Caenorhabditis elegans: one gene and its partners. The protein of the gene in region 2 interacts with the protein of the main gene of each other region in a pairwise test. Each region holds a gene or a part of one and is shown on either strand. Other genes may lie near its edges.

Region 1 (3,845 bases), on a different chromosome or scaffold from region 2:
CTTTGATACTTCGATATTGGCACTCACTTCAAAATAACATTATTCTGTGTATTTCAAACTTACAGTTAGAAAAAAAAACGTAAAAACAAAAACGCATGTTTCGTTGAATTTAAATGTGTCTAAACGTTGTACACAACAGATAATGTTCAATTAATACTTCAATCGTTTCCGACTTTGAAATCATTGTTCACCCAAACACTTATCGAACAACAACAAAAAATGTACATTAGTGATCAAATCTTAGGATTTTTAAAGAAGCCGCTATAATCTTCACTTTAGTTTTTCAATTATGTTAATTCAAAATTGCACCTATTTGACATGTTTTACTTTTTCTCCTAGTTGATCCCGCATTTAAAATATTTTATGGTCTGACTGCAATACCGATTAGAAGCGGAGCCATCGTAAAACACAATAAATGTTCGGTCAAAAGAATTTGTATTTGCTCATACCGTACCTCTCAGACGTTTCATTTTTGTTCCTTAAATCATTCCTTGAGTTTTGTCCTTGAACTACGGTGAAGCTAACAAAACATAAAATCAGACTGATAAGAAGTGTCAAGTCACATAAAACGCAAAGCGTGCTTAAAAATAAATCGTAATCTTTAGTGTGCACATGACATTTTAATGTCATGTTTTGTATTCGGTCTTTTCAGAATTGCTTTAAAATTGCTAATAGCTTAGGCTTTTGGGAAATGTCAGAATTTTGAATGCTAAATCAAAAAATCAAAACAAAACGAAAAATCAAATCAAATCATGATTCGAATTTGGAACTTTGAAATTTCAAAGACTTCAAAGGAGAATAAACAGCTAGACAAAAAACTGAACTGAAAAAATCAATATATTTTTAATTTTTGAAGGATTTATTCGCTTAACAAAAGTCGCAAGAAGAAATTATTTTTTCTGAAATATTGTAAGTGAGAGAATGCTGTATGGAGCTTTGGATAAAGTTAAACTTGACGGTCCCACTATTGGCAAAACTATTTGAATTTTATGTTACACCGAATAAATTTGATGAAGTCTGAAAATTGCCGTGCTTATTTGTTTTACGCGTTTAGGAAAATTTTGTTATTTTTAAATTAAAAAATTAAAAACAAAAAGGGATAACAGTTCCAAATAGATTTTCCATGGTTTATGCTTTTTGTTAAATCTTTTTGCAAAATCTTTTTCAAATAAACTGTAAAGCATTTATTGTTAGTAGGATCATATGGGAAGGTTAACAGCTTAGTGCAAAAATTTTACAAAATTGCATCACATTTAATGATGTCCATGGTGTCCATGATGATGATGGCTTTCATAATGGCTTTCGTAGTGTCCTCCGTGATGTCCTCCATGGTGTCCTCCATGATGGTGGCTGTCATGGTGGTGATGGGTGTCCATATGTCCGTGGTGTCCTCCGTCAGTGTGGACATGAACAGTTGGTGGCATGTATCCTGGAGCTCCGTGGACTGGTGGTGGAGCATATCCTCCGTGTCCTCCGTATGGAGCGTTGTATCCTCCGTTTCCGTAGTACGACATTATTTCTAAAAATCAATAAGTTAGTAAAAAAGGATTGGTAAAATAATGTACATCAAGAAATAAGATAAAAAGAAGATTTTGAACAGTTTTGAAAAATAGGTTTATCCAAAAAAGGACCTATTTTTAGATGGAAAGCTGAAAAACTGATGGAGTATGGTCTTCGCGTTTGAGTATTTGAGCAATCTATTCAATGGAGGACACACGTCATAAGTGATAAAACGTTTAAATTATCATGCGCTGGTGGCATTTGGCCCTCCTCCATTTTTTGACGCTCGATAAGTTTATAAGAGGGTGTGATGATATTTTTGTTTGCCTTATTTGTTAGTCACCTTTCTTGTTCAAAACGACAAAGAAGCTCAAACAAACTAAAGGAGCGGAACGGGTGTTACTCATAGGCCAAATGGGAGAGAATGATCCAGAAGACCAGTTCCTCCCTCATGATGTTGAAGTATGATGAAAATGATCGTCACATTGGAAAGTTTTTTAAAACAATAATATTTTTTGTTTCATACATGTTATATCAAATGGGTTGAACATTTTGATAATAAAATAGTGATCAGATCAGATATCTTTTGAGATATTGTAAGACATGCGATGCGCATTCTACGAGCGAACCTTTGTTATTTTCCGATGTTTCCATTAATGTAATAGTCTGACGTTTTCATTTGACGTGTTCTTAAAATATCACTGAATTTCTCAAAATAAAATAAAATCACAACCTATGCGTGACACGTTGAATATTAGTAATTGCAGTAGAAAAAAAACAGAGTAAAACAGTCCTTGTCAACAATAAAACATTGAAATCAAGTTATATCTCAAGTATTTAGATCAATAAGTTTTTCAGATTTTTGGAACACTTGTGACACTCAATAAATTATCCATTGTACACGTATCCGTGGCTTTGTCATTTGCTTTTCACGTATATTCGTTGCGAGGGACTGTTTTTTGACCAAAAAGCAATATCAAAAGAGCATGATAGACTATTTGAGTCGTAATTCAACCCAATATGATCATTTTTATTTGTGTGTTTTCCGTAGACAATATAATTGACTTGTTTTCCTTAGTTACAGTTGTCAGGGTATTTATTTTGGGCTCAGTTACTTCTTTAAAACAATTATTTTTGATTGGAAATTAGTCTTTGTTCTAAAGGTAAACTGTTTGTCAATTAGTTCCTGTTAAATTCTAGTATGCATTTAATAATTCTTCAGTGCTTAATGTCAAATTGGCTGCACGGAAAGGTTAAGCGTTTCTTTCTTGATAGGTTGGGCAGATAACACATTGGAAACTGAACTTTACACTAGACAAATGTCAGTATCGAATAACTTTATTGGGTTTTGTGTTCACAAACAACTGAATGAAAAAAGAACTGAATCAATAATATATCTATTATGGAATGGGACCAAGTCTTTCTGAAAAGATTATCTATCTTCGTCACAGAAATTAAAATGAATAATTTTTTAAAAGAGTTATTTCATTTTTGTTGTAAAAACTCTTCCGAATGCATTATGTTCAACATAACTAATTGGTATATTCTGTAAAATTATTATATTTTTGTAATGAATGGACGAAGCATATGTGAACACTTATCCTTTCGGATAAGTTTCTTTCTTTTTTCTTTCTTCCTTTAATAACGGTAGGCAATAATAAAAGGATTTATTGATGTAAATAATAAAAATAAACAGAAAATATCAGTCGAAGCGCTTTAGAAGGAAATTATATCATATCTCTACATCAACATACATCCTACATCAAACATACATCTACTGAGTTCTCTTGGGTTTTTATATGGATTGGAATAATATGTAAATGAACACATAAGAGGTGATTAGCATCTAATATGTTAATCGGAATTAACAATACAGGAGAAAACTATTTGATATTATTGATATTTGATCATCGAAAGAGAGGTCTTTCGACACTCCCAAGAAAGTGAAGAAAGGAAAAGAGAAGAAAGAGCTAGACATAAAATTAGTGATAGTCTAACGAAAATTAAGATTTTGTTCCTTACTGATTGTGAACGAGAATATTTGGCCTGACAATCCAATTGAACTGCTGTTGACACCACTGCTCTAATATTTCTTTGTGTCACACTGTACTTCCGACAATGCGGATTGATTCTCTACATCAACATACATCCACATTGATTTTTTTGATTTTTTTGATTCTCCCCAGTTTTTGATTCGACAGCATATGACCAGGAGTGAATGACCAACAATATTTTCGAGCAAAGGGAAACTTCGCATTTGTCGAAATTGAGAATTAATGGAAAATGTCGGCTAATCGTTGTAACATTCGGCAACATATGATTTTTCGAACATCGAAAACTTCCAT
Region 2 (5,924 bases):
CCGTCATACAGCTTGGCCCGGCCTGACGGCGCTCACGGGGCTGGATAAGAGGCTTGATGAGTCTCAAGTCCTTTGGACGGCATGTTGGGATTGGGTTACTGAAATTGAAACTTTTTTTCTGCAACAAAAAAAAATTCCGGACTAAAGCCCTACCATGGAGCCCGGATACACGTGACCTGGACTAAAACGCATTCCTCGTTGTAGGGACAGTTCTGGGCGCGGCAATCTGAAAATTTCGACGATTTTAACTGAATTTTTTTCTGCCTAAAAACTCACAGTCCTCCTCCAAACACTGTGGCTGACGCTTGCAACCCACGCATCCGACGGGCTCAACCATTCCACAACCTCCCTTGAATCCGCATCTGACGTTGGCGCACGTGATCCCGGTTGGTGGGGTCTCTGGCGCGGTTCTCACTTTAATTTTTTGGGTGTTAGAAAACTCAAGGATAGGAATAAAAGTACTGAAAATCTAGCCGAATTCAACAGAAAGTTCCCGATTTCCCCAAATCCTAAAGCGATACCTGGTACACAAGTCGGCTTGCCAGTTGACATGGAGCATTGGTGACCGGTACGGCAGTCCACCAAGTTGCATGGGTTCTCGTCAGTGCTGCCTGGAAACAATTTATATGTTAGAGTCGGAAAATTCGTATATTTTGAGTCGCAGGGTATGCACCAGGATTGCGTCAAGTCATTACGTCGTTGCATCATGATTTTGGCATGAAAACAAGCTAAAATCCCGATTTTTGCGTCAAAAACAACCCCAAACCTTCAAAATTGATTCAAAAATGTGCCGAAAGTTGGCAGATTTGTTGAAACTCGCACGTTAAACCAAAATGTGTGCCAAAAAAACGTTTTCGTCAAAAAACTGCCAAAAAGTATGTCAAAAGCCAATATCCCCATAAAATTGGTCCAAAACTGTCCCAAAATGTGAAAATCGTTCCGAAAATCCACAAATTTGTCAAAATTCCATCCAAGTCCATTTCAGGACACCAAATTCTCAGAATTTTAGCAAAGAACCGCACCAAACCAGCGCCCGCGGACAGAAAAAATGATACCTGGCACACAAGTTGCCTGGCCAGTTGACATGGTGCATCGGTGACCGGGCTTGCAGAGTACCAAGGCACATGGGTTTGTGTCAGTCTTGCCTGGAAACCACATTTGTAGGGGAAAATCAAAAAATTCTGCTCAAAACTGCCCCAAAATAGGAAAATTGCTCCGGATTTGTCGAAAAAAGGGGTCAAGTCGTTTTTTGCACCGAAATTTTGGTCCAAAAACTAAAACTTTTGTTGAAAGGCCTAGATTTACATCAATTTTGATGCAAACCTGCTCATAATCGCAAAATTGTTCTAAAAATCAACAGCGGAGTCAAAAATGCCGCAAAAATTCGTTTCAAGACACCAAACTTGCTAAAACTCTCTAAAACTGAGCTCAGCTCAATTTTCTTAGATATTTTCATCAAAACTTTGCCAGAAGCCTATTTAACATGACTTTTTGCCCGAAAATTCACTCGAGACCCCTAAAGCCACTAGAACTAGGCTTCAGCCCTACTAACCAGTCGGTGGGCACTCTGCAAGCTTCACACACTGTCCCTGCCGGTTCCTAACGAGTCCCTTCTTGCAAGAGCATGCTTTTTCGCACCTCATCATGCACCTAACAAATGGCTGTGGATTGACAGGACATTTTGCCTCGGAGCACGAATTGTGACAGTCATTGGGCTCCTCATTCTTGGAGCAAGTCAGTGTGGAGCCTAGAATCACTGGCTCTAACTAGTTTCCTTTAAAACGGTACCCACCAGTAGCCGGACACTCGGTAGGGTTCACACACTGTCCCTGGCGGTTCCGGAGGAATCCCTTTTTGCAGGAACATCCGATGTCGCATTTCTCCATACAGTTTACCAGTGGCTGGGGCTTAACCGGACACTTTTTCTCGAAGCACGCGTTGTGACACTGGTTGGGCTCCTCGTTGGTTCCGCAGGTTTGAGAGCCTGGAAAGTTGCAGTGCGGTGGCGCAATTCTGGTGCATTTTTTCGTCCAATTTTTAGAGTACTTACCAATCGCTGGGCACTCGGCCTCCTTGACACACACTCCTTGGTTGTTTCTGACGAATCCGTCCATGCAGGAGCATCCGACTTGGCAGGCCATCAAGCAGTTCACCTGTGGAGCATTCTTTTGTGGGCACTTCTTCTCGGTGCATGGGTTGTGGCACTCGTTGGATACCTCGTTGACTGGGCATGTGAGGTTGGTGGCTGGAAATTGGTGGGGGGTTAGAGGGGTTTGGGGTCGGGGGTCTTGGTTTGGAGGCTTTAGGATGCCTGGTAGGTTTGTGCTTGGCACCCTTGAAGTCTGGCGCTGGTACCCACGATCTGGGCTCGGTACCCCAAGCTCTGAGCTTGGTACCCATGAACTCTGGGCCTGTGACCCATTAACTCTGGGCTTGTTACCCTTGAAGTCTGGCACTGGTACCCACGATCTGGGCTCGGTACCGTGGAGCTCTGGGCTTGTTACCGTGGAGCTCAAGGCTTGGTATTCTTTAACTCTGGGTCCGGCAGTCCCCGAGCTCTGGGCCAGGTACCCACGAAATCTGGGCCTGGAACCCATGAACTCTGTGGCTGGGGACCCTGAACTGTGGAGCTGGTATCCCTGAACTCTGGGCTGGGGACCTCTGAACTTTGGGCCTGGCACCCCTGAACTCTGGGCCTAAGATCCATGAACTCTGGGGGCTGGTACCTGGGTCTAGATACCCGTTTCGAACTCCGGGCCAGTGTCTGTAGGGCCTGAGATGCCTTAGAGAATGGGCCTTGTCAGGAAGATCTGATTTTCAAGCGGACCCCGCGCTCCAAAACATCAGATTCCAGGACTCCGTGTGCAGCCCGGCCCAAAATTTAGTCTTTCGGTATCCCCAAAATTTGGGGCAGGTACCCCCGAACTCTGGGCCTGGGACCCTTGAACTCTGGGCTTGGCGCCCACAAAGTCAGGAGGCTGATACCCCCAAGCTCTGGGTCTAGATACCCGTTTCGAACTCCGGGCCATTGTCTGTAGGGCCAGTGCGGCCTTAGAGATTGGGCCTTGTCTGGAAACTCTGATGTACTAGCGGACCCAAAATTTCAGATTCCGAGACTGCGTAGCCCGGCCCAAATTTTAGTCTGTGTCCCCTTCTAACCTGGTGGTGGAATTGGAATCGTCTCATTCGCCGCAACATTGCAGTCCTTCTGCTCAACACAACGATTATCCGAAGTTCTGCGGAAGAATCCACTGTTACACTGACATCCCATGACGCATTGCAGTGTGCAAAAAGTCTGCAAAAACCACGTTGTAAGCCGGAATTTGACAACAAAATCTGCTCACCGGAGTCGGAAGCCCGCAAGTCGGCTCGCAAGCCGTGCCACACGTCTGGAAGCTCTCGTTTTCTTTGCATTCTTGGTCTGAAAGGGGTTTAGGTACACTTTTAGGTTGGAAAAACTTACCTCTTGTCGCTGAAAGTTGAGCGTTTGCTCCGATGAGCAGAACGCTGAGCAGCACAATATACTGCATCGCTCCGAAACTCGGAAACTCTGGAAAACTATAAAATCACGCCATTTTATAGCATTTTTATGCGAACCAAAACATAAAGTTTCAGGAAAAACATTATAATAAAAAAACCAGAAAATCGAGAAATCAGACATCAAAAGTGCGGAAAACATTATGTTTTGAGAGAGAAAAGGAGAAAGTAAACAAAAAAAAATGTCTGTGTTTTGATGATTTTTGGGGTCAAAAGATTGGAAATTTTGCAGAAATTGCTGGGAAAAAATGGGGAGTTTAAAGAAAAACAACATTCGAAGTTACAGAAAACTTGAAAACAATATGCAAATATTGCAAAAAAACATGGAATTTTCGGGAAAAAACTATTGTTCAAAGTAAATATTTTTTGATATGTTTTCAAGTTTAAATATGTAGTTTGAACTGTTTTTTCCAAAAAAAAATTATAGAAAAAATCTATGAATTTCAGACAATTTTACATAGGAAAAATCAACTTTTCAGATATTTTTACATAGGAAATTGGAAATTTACGGCATTTTTTATATAGACAAATCAAATTTTGAGACATTATTTTACAGGAAACTCAAAATTTCAAATATTTTTACACTGAAAATTCGAAATTTCAGGAATTTTTACATAGGAAATTCAGAATTTCTGCCATTTTTCTACTGGAAAATCACTTTTTTCAGAAATTTTTTATATAAAAAAATTCAAAATTTGAGACATGTTTCGACTGAAAAATGTATTTTTCCGGTATTTTGAACTGTGAAATTCAGGATTTCGGCCACTTTTAAATGAATAAATGGAAATTTTAGACATTTTTACATAGAAAATTTGAAAGTTCAAACGTTTTTTTTACAGGAAAATCAATTTTCTAGACATTTTTAAACATGAAATCTGAAACTTCAAGAATTTTTTATATAGGAAGTTCAAATTTTTTACGTTTTTGTACTAAAAAATTCAAAATTTCCGGCATTTTCTGCTAGAAAATCAATTTTTCAGATATTTTCACATGAGAAATTCAATATTTCAGATTTCTATACAAAAAATTTGAAATTTAGGACATTTTATACTGGAAAATCATATTTTTAGGATATTTTTTCATAACAGTTTGAAATTTCATGCATTTTTACATAGAAAATTTGAAATTTCTGCCATTTTTCTACTGGAATATCACTTTTTCAAACATTTTTACATAAGAAATGTGAAATGTTTAGAGATTTTTATATAGGAAATTCGAAATTTCAGAAATTTTTTACATATAAAAATCGATTTTTCAGACGTTTTTCTACAGGAAAATCAGTTTTTCAGATATTTTTGTATAGGAAATTTGAAATTTCTGCAAGTTTTTGAAAATCATTTGAGAACTCTGCGTCTAAATTCCCGCAATTCTTGTAGATCTGGGGGGTAGATCAAACCGAAATGGGACAGCATGGGCAGTTTCACTACAAACTACAAACTACACTTGAGTACTAAAATTATACGACTAAATGACGAGACAAAATCAATATTTCGAACCAACAAAAAAATAAACGAAAATCTAACGAAATTCACAAAGTTGTAGTGGATTTTTGGATTAAATGAACACGCGCGAGTTGACTAGAAAAAACGGAAATTGAAGGGTTAATCCCCCAACCCGCCAAATCTTTTATTTTTTGATCTCCCACACATTTTTTACACGTTTTTTTTTGTAAATGATGTGTGGAGATTGGGATTTGTAGGGGGGTTTGGCGGGAAAATTGAATTTTCTGATAGAAAATTTGAGAAAAATGTAAAATTTTCGAGAAAATGGGGTTTTGGGACTACTTTTGGAGAAAAAACCGGCAAAAAAACTGAAAATTTGGCGGTTTTTGGCAGAATTTATTGTTTTTTGGATGTTTCGGGTTATAGGAAATGAAAAGTTCAATAGAAAAACTGAAATTTCTGACATTTTGCAATTAGAAAATTAAAATTTCAGACGTTTTTACATTGGTAATTGGAAATTTCAGACATTTTTGAATAGGAAAATTCTAATTTCAACCATTTTTATGAAGGAATTTTTAAATTTTTCTACAAAATTTTCGTTTGAAATCGACTATTTTTTGCCAAATTTAGCACTTTTTGAAGGTCAAAAACTCGATTTTCTCATCAAATTTTCTATGATTTTATATATTTAGAAGCGTAAATATTTGCACTGTGTCACCATTTGTTTATATGATTTCATGTGAAAAAGCTGGCTGAAATCAAAGATGAAAAGCTGATTAAATAAACATTTTCTGCAAGAAATTTGGGATTTTTGATGTTAATTTTGAAAAATATTGTATTGGCGGGGTTTGGCTCTTTTTGTGGTGAGACCCTTGGAAAATGTTTTGGCGGGAAATTCAAACTTTCTGAGAAATAATACTTTGGTGGGAAATTCAATTTTTCTGA
Region 3 (5,098 bases), about 16 Mb from region 2:
ATTCGGGCCGGCCGAGAAAATTTGCCAAACTTTGAGGTGCGCTGGTTTTCGTGTAGTTCGTTGGACGGAGGGAAGACGAAATGAGGTCCCGGTCGTTTTGAAATTCTGTAAATGACATGAAATTAATTTCATTCTATTCGTTTAAAAAATACCCACTGCTCGAGTTCATCCCAACTTCACAACACTTTTTCAACCGACAGATTTTACAGCGATATCTGAAATTTTTTACAATTTTAATTTTTCAAGTTTTCAGCTTCTACACAAAAAAAACACTTACAAATCATTTCCAATGCAATTTCCCTTTCTGCAAACTCTATCCTGATATTTTGCATTTTGAAGTGCGGCTCTTCGGAAAAATGCGGCACACGCTCGGCAACTGAGCACACCGAAATGATTGCCGTGAGCCGGTTGCTCGCAGATCTCGCATGGCCCGGAAAGGTAGAGGGCAGGTGGCATTTTTAGTTATACATAAAACACGTGAAAGAACGATGATCAATGGTAGTGTAGAACCGATAAAACGTGCCGAGAGACGCAGACTGTTGAAGGAAAGGAAAATAAATAGACTGCGGTTTTAGGGTGTAGGGAATATCAAAAGATCAACAAATAAAAATAGAGTGCCGTTATATAATAGTCCAATAAGTACAAATTCCATAAAAACACAAAACCTGTTAGGTTTTTCAAAATTTTCAGTCAAAAAATCTCAAAAAAGTTGGGCAAGTTTTAAAATTTTTTTTGGTCATTTTAAAACGCATGGGTGGTTTTTTTTTAAATTTATCCCTGACAATACTTGAAAGAAAAAGTTAGAAAAACATTTTAAATGCTAAATTATAGCAGCGAACTTCCAAAGTTCAGTGAGAGTTTTTTAGTTTTCTCAATGGAAAACAGCAGTTCTAGAAATAACAAAATTTGATATCTTAAAGGCGGAGTAGCGTCAGTCGTGATTTTGCCTAAATATACTTATTATGATCCAAAATGACCAAATATTATAATAAAACACTCGAAAAAATTTTAGATTTTTCATAATTTCCGGTCAAAGTTTTGTCCAGTTGCCAAAATTTTTGACTGAGTAATTGTCACTTTTTGACAGCAAATAAACAATTTTCAAAAAAAAATCTTTGAATGGTTTTATTATGATATTCGGCCACTTTGGCACCATCGGAGTAGTTTTTAACACTTTCCCCCACTGGCGCTACTCCACCTTTAAAAGTGATGATTGAATAAAAATTTAATTTTTCATTCAAAATTCGATTTTTTTTAAATCAAGGATACATTCATTAGTAAGTTGTTTAACAAAAATTTTATTGTCAATTATTAATCAAGTGCCCTCAAACATTTCCGGATGCGAATAAACAATTGAAAACAGGTCAAAAACTTCGACAATCTTCGCTTTTTCCTTTCTCTCCCTCACATCTTCCTCGACAATTTGGTTGATTTTCATCAGTTTTGTCAATCGTCCAGAGTATGATGGCATGTTCAACTTTTTGGTATAATAATTATGCAAATTATCTGCATTGATTTGCAAGAGCTTATCAGTTGCCTCTAGGACACGTCCTTGAAATTTCTTGCCAGCATCGTTAAGGCAGAGTTGAATGAGCATGAAGTTGAGCTCCATATCTGTTGGGTTGAGCTTCACGAGGTCTTCCACTGGCTGTCTCCAATGCTTATCAATATTTGGCATTAGGAATCTGTAAAATTTTCTCTTAAGAAAATTTAAAAAACCTGAAACTTACGCTTGCATTTGCTCTGCACCGTAATTGGTACACCAGCTCCAGTCAACATTGATATCCTGCACATTCAGACAAGTGTTTTCTGAGCACATAAAAATGTTTGCACCCATTTCTTTAATTCTTTGATTTTGTGCTGTTTCAGCTAGCTTGTTCAGTCGAATCCAAAGCATCCACGTGGATTTTAGTATTTCCAGCTGGAAAATTACAGACTTTGTTGGCTCGAAATTTAAATACCGAATACCATACCTTAACACGAAGATCCAGACTTGTAAAATCTGGAAGTCTTGCGTACCAGTTCGCGGTCGCCAAGAACATTTGCTCGAAAAAGACAAGCGATTCAGCTTTCCCAATATTCCGCACAATTTTTACTTTATGATTTGAGCTTCTTAACCGCAAGTCTTCCATTTCCAATGTGAGCTTTTCCAGGCTATTGCTGTATTTGTAGGGCATTGGTGAGTTGGCTAGGTCCTTAAAATTGCACAATAGCGAGCAACCGACAAATTACAGGACGGCAAAATTTGATGCGAAAAAAACATCAATTGGCCCGTGAAGTGTCGGCTTGTGCCAAAAAATAACCTTTACCTCCTGGAAAATTTCTGCAGCTTTGTGAACCAAATCCGTCACATCTATCACTGTCTTGAAAGGAGAAGCCTTTTCGGGCTCGAAACTTATTATGAATTCGGGCCGCCCGAGAAAGTTTGCCAAACTTTGTGGAGCATAAACTTTCGTGCGTTTAAGGTATGCATTGGAGCTTGAAATAAGGTCACGGTCCTTTTGAAATTCTGAACATTTAGATATTAAAATTTTTTAAAAATTCTTTTTAACCCACTACTTGCGTCCATTCCGACTTTGTAGCACTTTTTCAGTCGGCAAATTTTACAGCGATATCTAGAAAATTTGAAGTTTTTTTTTTCAATTTCCAGCAAACACATACGCTCCAGCATCAAAAATCCGGCAATCCCCATATTCACAGGCTTTATCTTGAAACCGAGGACTTCGAGAAGCTCTTCTGAAAAATGCGGCGCAAGCTCGGCAACTGAGCACACCGAAATGGTTTCCGTGAGCTGGTAGATCACAAATTTTACACGGTCCTGAGATGAGAAGGGCTGCTGGCATTTTGTCGTCTGAATTGCTAAAGATTTGTTCAATTTTTTTTTGAGAAAAATATTGGCGGGAAAATCAAATTTTCTCAAAAAAAATATGGCGGGAAAATCAAATTTTCTTGAAAAATACTTGGCGGGAAATTCAAAATTTCTAAAAAAGAATATGGGCGGGAAATTCAAAATTCCTCAGTAAACAATTAAGCTGGAAATTCAAATTTTTGTTAAAAAATAATTGGCGGTAAATCAAAATTTTCTCAAAAAACTATTTTTGGGAGAAATTAAATTCAAAATATTTTTGCGGGAAATTTAAATTTTCTACAAAAATATATAATGGTAATCAATAAAAAAAATTAAATAAAAAGTCCAATACATATCAGTTGACAGAAAACTAAATACATACTAGACATATAAAATGGAAACCAATGATCGGAGACGCAGACTGCTAAAGCAAGGCCTGGTGGGGTTTGAAGCAACATCAGCGTCAATAGAAAAAGTTGCCAAGAGTGACGAAACTACGAAAATGCTTACATAATGTGAATGAATAATTTAAGACAAGGAACAAATCTCCCCATTTTTTAAAAATTCAGTCTAGGCCAGGCTTGTTTGATGTTTGAAAAATCACACCAAAAAATGCGAATTTTTTTCCGATTAAAAAAATTTTTGACGGGATCTTGAAAATCTGGAGTTTTTATAATAAAAAAATGAGTAGTAATGACCGAATATAAATGTAAAAAAATGTATTAAAAGTTATTGAAATTTTGGAGATTTTTTTTGTTGGAAAAATCAGTGTATTTTTTTAGAAATTTTGAACCGCCTTAAAAAATTCTTCAAAAATTTCTAAGAAGTTTCATTACAAAATTCGTTCATTTGAGCACATTTTGGGCCTATACGCTCAAAATCGTCAGAACCGTTAGTCCTCCTTCAAATTAAAAAAAGGAAAAAAATTGAAGAACATTTTTGAAAATTTGGAAAATTGAGGTATTATACTCAAGATTTTTTTAGAAAAATTTTGAAATTTTAAATAATTAGAGTTAAACCGGATAAAAACATGTCTAACAAAAAACGAAGCGACAAATAAAAAAAAGGAAAATTTCACTAGACTTTTGAGAGGAAAATCTGATTTTTTCTGCGATACCAGGCGCAGCCTACATATTATTATCGCACGATCTTGAATCCTGAAAAGCCAATATATTTCCTATTGATTCGATTTGTTGCTTATTCTTTAAATACATTTGCTGTATTTGTAACTCTCTGAAAATTTAATTTTCAGTGCAAAATGAGTGATGTGAAACATCAAATTTTGGATCTAGAGATTGATAAGAAAGTCAAATCGAGTTCTAGTTCGGTACGCCAATTTTTTTAAAATTTCATTTTTTAATTCATGATAGCTTGGAAATTAGTTAATTTTAGATCATTCAAGGGTTATGCTCAATTCAACTTTTATCTATGATCGCAGTTACCGCACACCACACAGCCATGCCATTTTTTGTACAAATGGCTAATACGGTAAGGATCTTAATTTTCAATTGCCAAGAAAAAATCACTATTCAGAGCCATTTCCTTCCGACAACTTCGGTTTTTATGATGGAAGTTTTGAAGTTATTATTTTGCCTGATAATTGTTTTATTTAAAACAAAAAGTTTTGAGAAGTAAGATTCTGGGGAAAAAAGTAATGTTCCAACACACTTACAGAACTGGCAAAAAGCTATACGAACACATTTGGAAAAATCGAGTGGAAACCTTGAAAGTGTCGGTTCCAGCAGTGGTATATGCTATTCAGAACAATTTATACTACATTGCACTCGCGAATATTGATGCGACAACTTATTCGGTAATTTTTGCCCAAAATGAAATTAAGAAAATATGGGATCAATATACCAAATTCAAACTGTAAAAAATTTTTTAGAAATTTTTAAATTTAGTATGATTTTTTTTTGAATTCTTCATACAAATCACCTAAATTTTGGCATTTTTACAAAATGTTTAATTTTTCTTGGCAATTTTTATTGGGTTTTCATAGTTTTCATTAGTTTATTTAATTTTGGCACTGTTTGTCTTTTTTTTTAAATTATGTTTTTGAAAAGAAAATTTGGTAATCTCTAAGAAAAACGCTGAAACATTGAAATTGATCCAATTTCTTTGTAGAAAAATGTCCGAAAATGTGACAAATAATAATTCAAATTATGATATACAAACAAAACCGAGAAAATAAAATTTTAATCCTAATTATGCCAAAATGCCAAAATCTTAGTTGACTTACGCGAAAAC

The links. Proteins that work in one complex are often made in the same cells at the same time.
Region 1: the proteins of Y69H2.3 (region 2) and F53A9.6 interact in a two-hybrid assay, tested with the Caenorhabditis elegans proteins (one large-scale study listed by BioGRID).
Region 3: the proteins of Y69H2.3 (region 2) and nhr-184 interact in a two-hybrid assay, tested with the Caenorhabditis elegans proteins (one large-scale study listed by BioGRID).

What each region holds. Positions count from the first base shown.
Region 1 is NC_003284.9:8,712,291-8,716,135, forward strand, and holds F53A9.6 (Spore coat protein), read right to left. Parts: upstream 1,515-3,845; coding exon 1,254-1,514; downstream 1-1,253.
Region 2 is NC_003283.11:18,660,567-18,666,490, forward strand, and holds the start of Y69H2.3 (Follistatin-like domain-containing protein), read right to left. Parts: upstream 3,561-5,924; 5' UTR 3,531-3,560; coding exon 3,464-3,530; intron 3,422-3,463; coding exon 3,345-3,421; intron 3,296-3,344; coding exon 3,160-3,295; intron 2,246-3,159; coding exon 2,051-2,245; intron 1,985-2,050; coding exon 1,793-1,984; intron 1,748-1,792; coding exon 1,553-1,747; intron 1,146-1,552; coding exon 1,056-1,145; intron 612-1,055; coding exon 522-611; intron 415-521; coding exon of another isoform or gene 277-414; intron 227-276; coding exon of another isoform or gene 154-226; intron 99-153; coding exon of another isoform or gene 1-98.
Region 3 is NC_003283.11:2,211,618-2,216,715, forward strand, and holds nhr-184 (Nuclear Hormone Receptor family), read right to left. Parts: upstream 2,862-5,098; 5' UTR 2,844-2,861; coding exon 2,662-2,843; intron 2,616-2,661; coding exon 2,557-2,615; intron 2,510-2,556; coding exon 2,310-2,509; exon of another isoform or gene 2,196-2,309; coding exon 1,974-2,195; intron 1,922-1,973; coding exon 1,731-1,921; intron 1,686-1,730; coding exon 1,316-1,685; 3' UTR 1,254-1,315; downstream 1-1,253. Other genes in the region: Nuclear hormone receptor family member nhr-133, read right to left, coding at 1-105, 157-215, 278-456; nstp-8 (Nucleotide Sugar TransPorter family), read left to right, coding at 4,107-4,175, 4,241-4,336, 4,382-4,479, 4,523-4,661.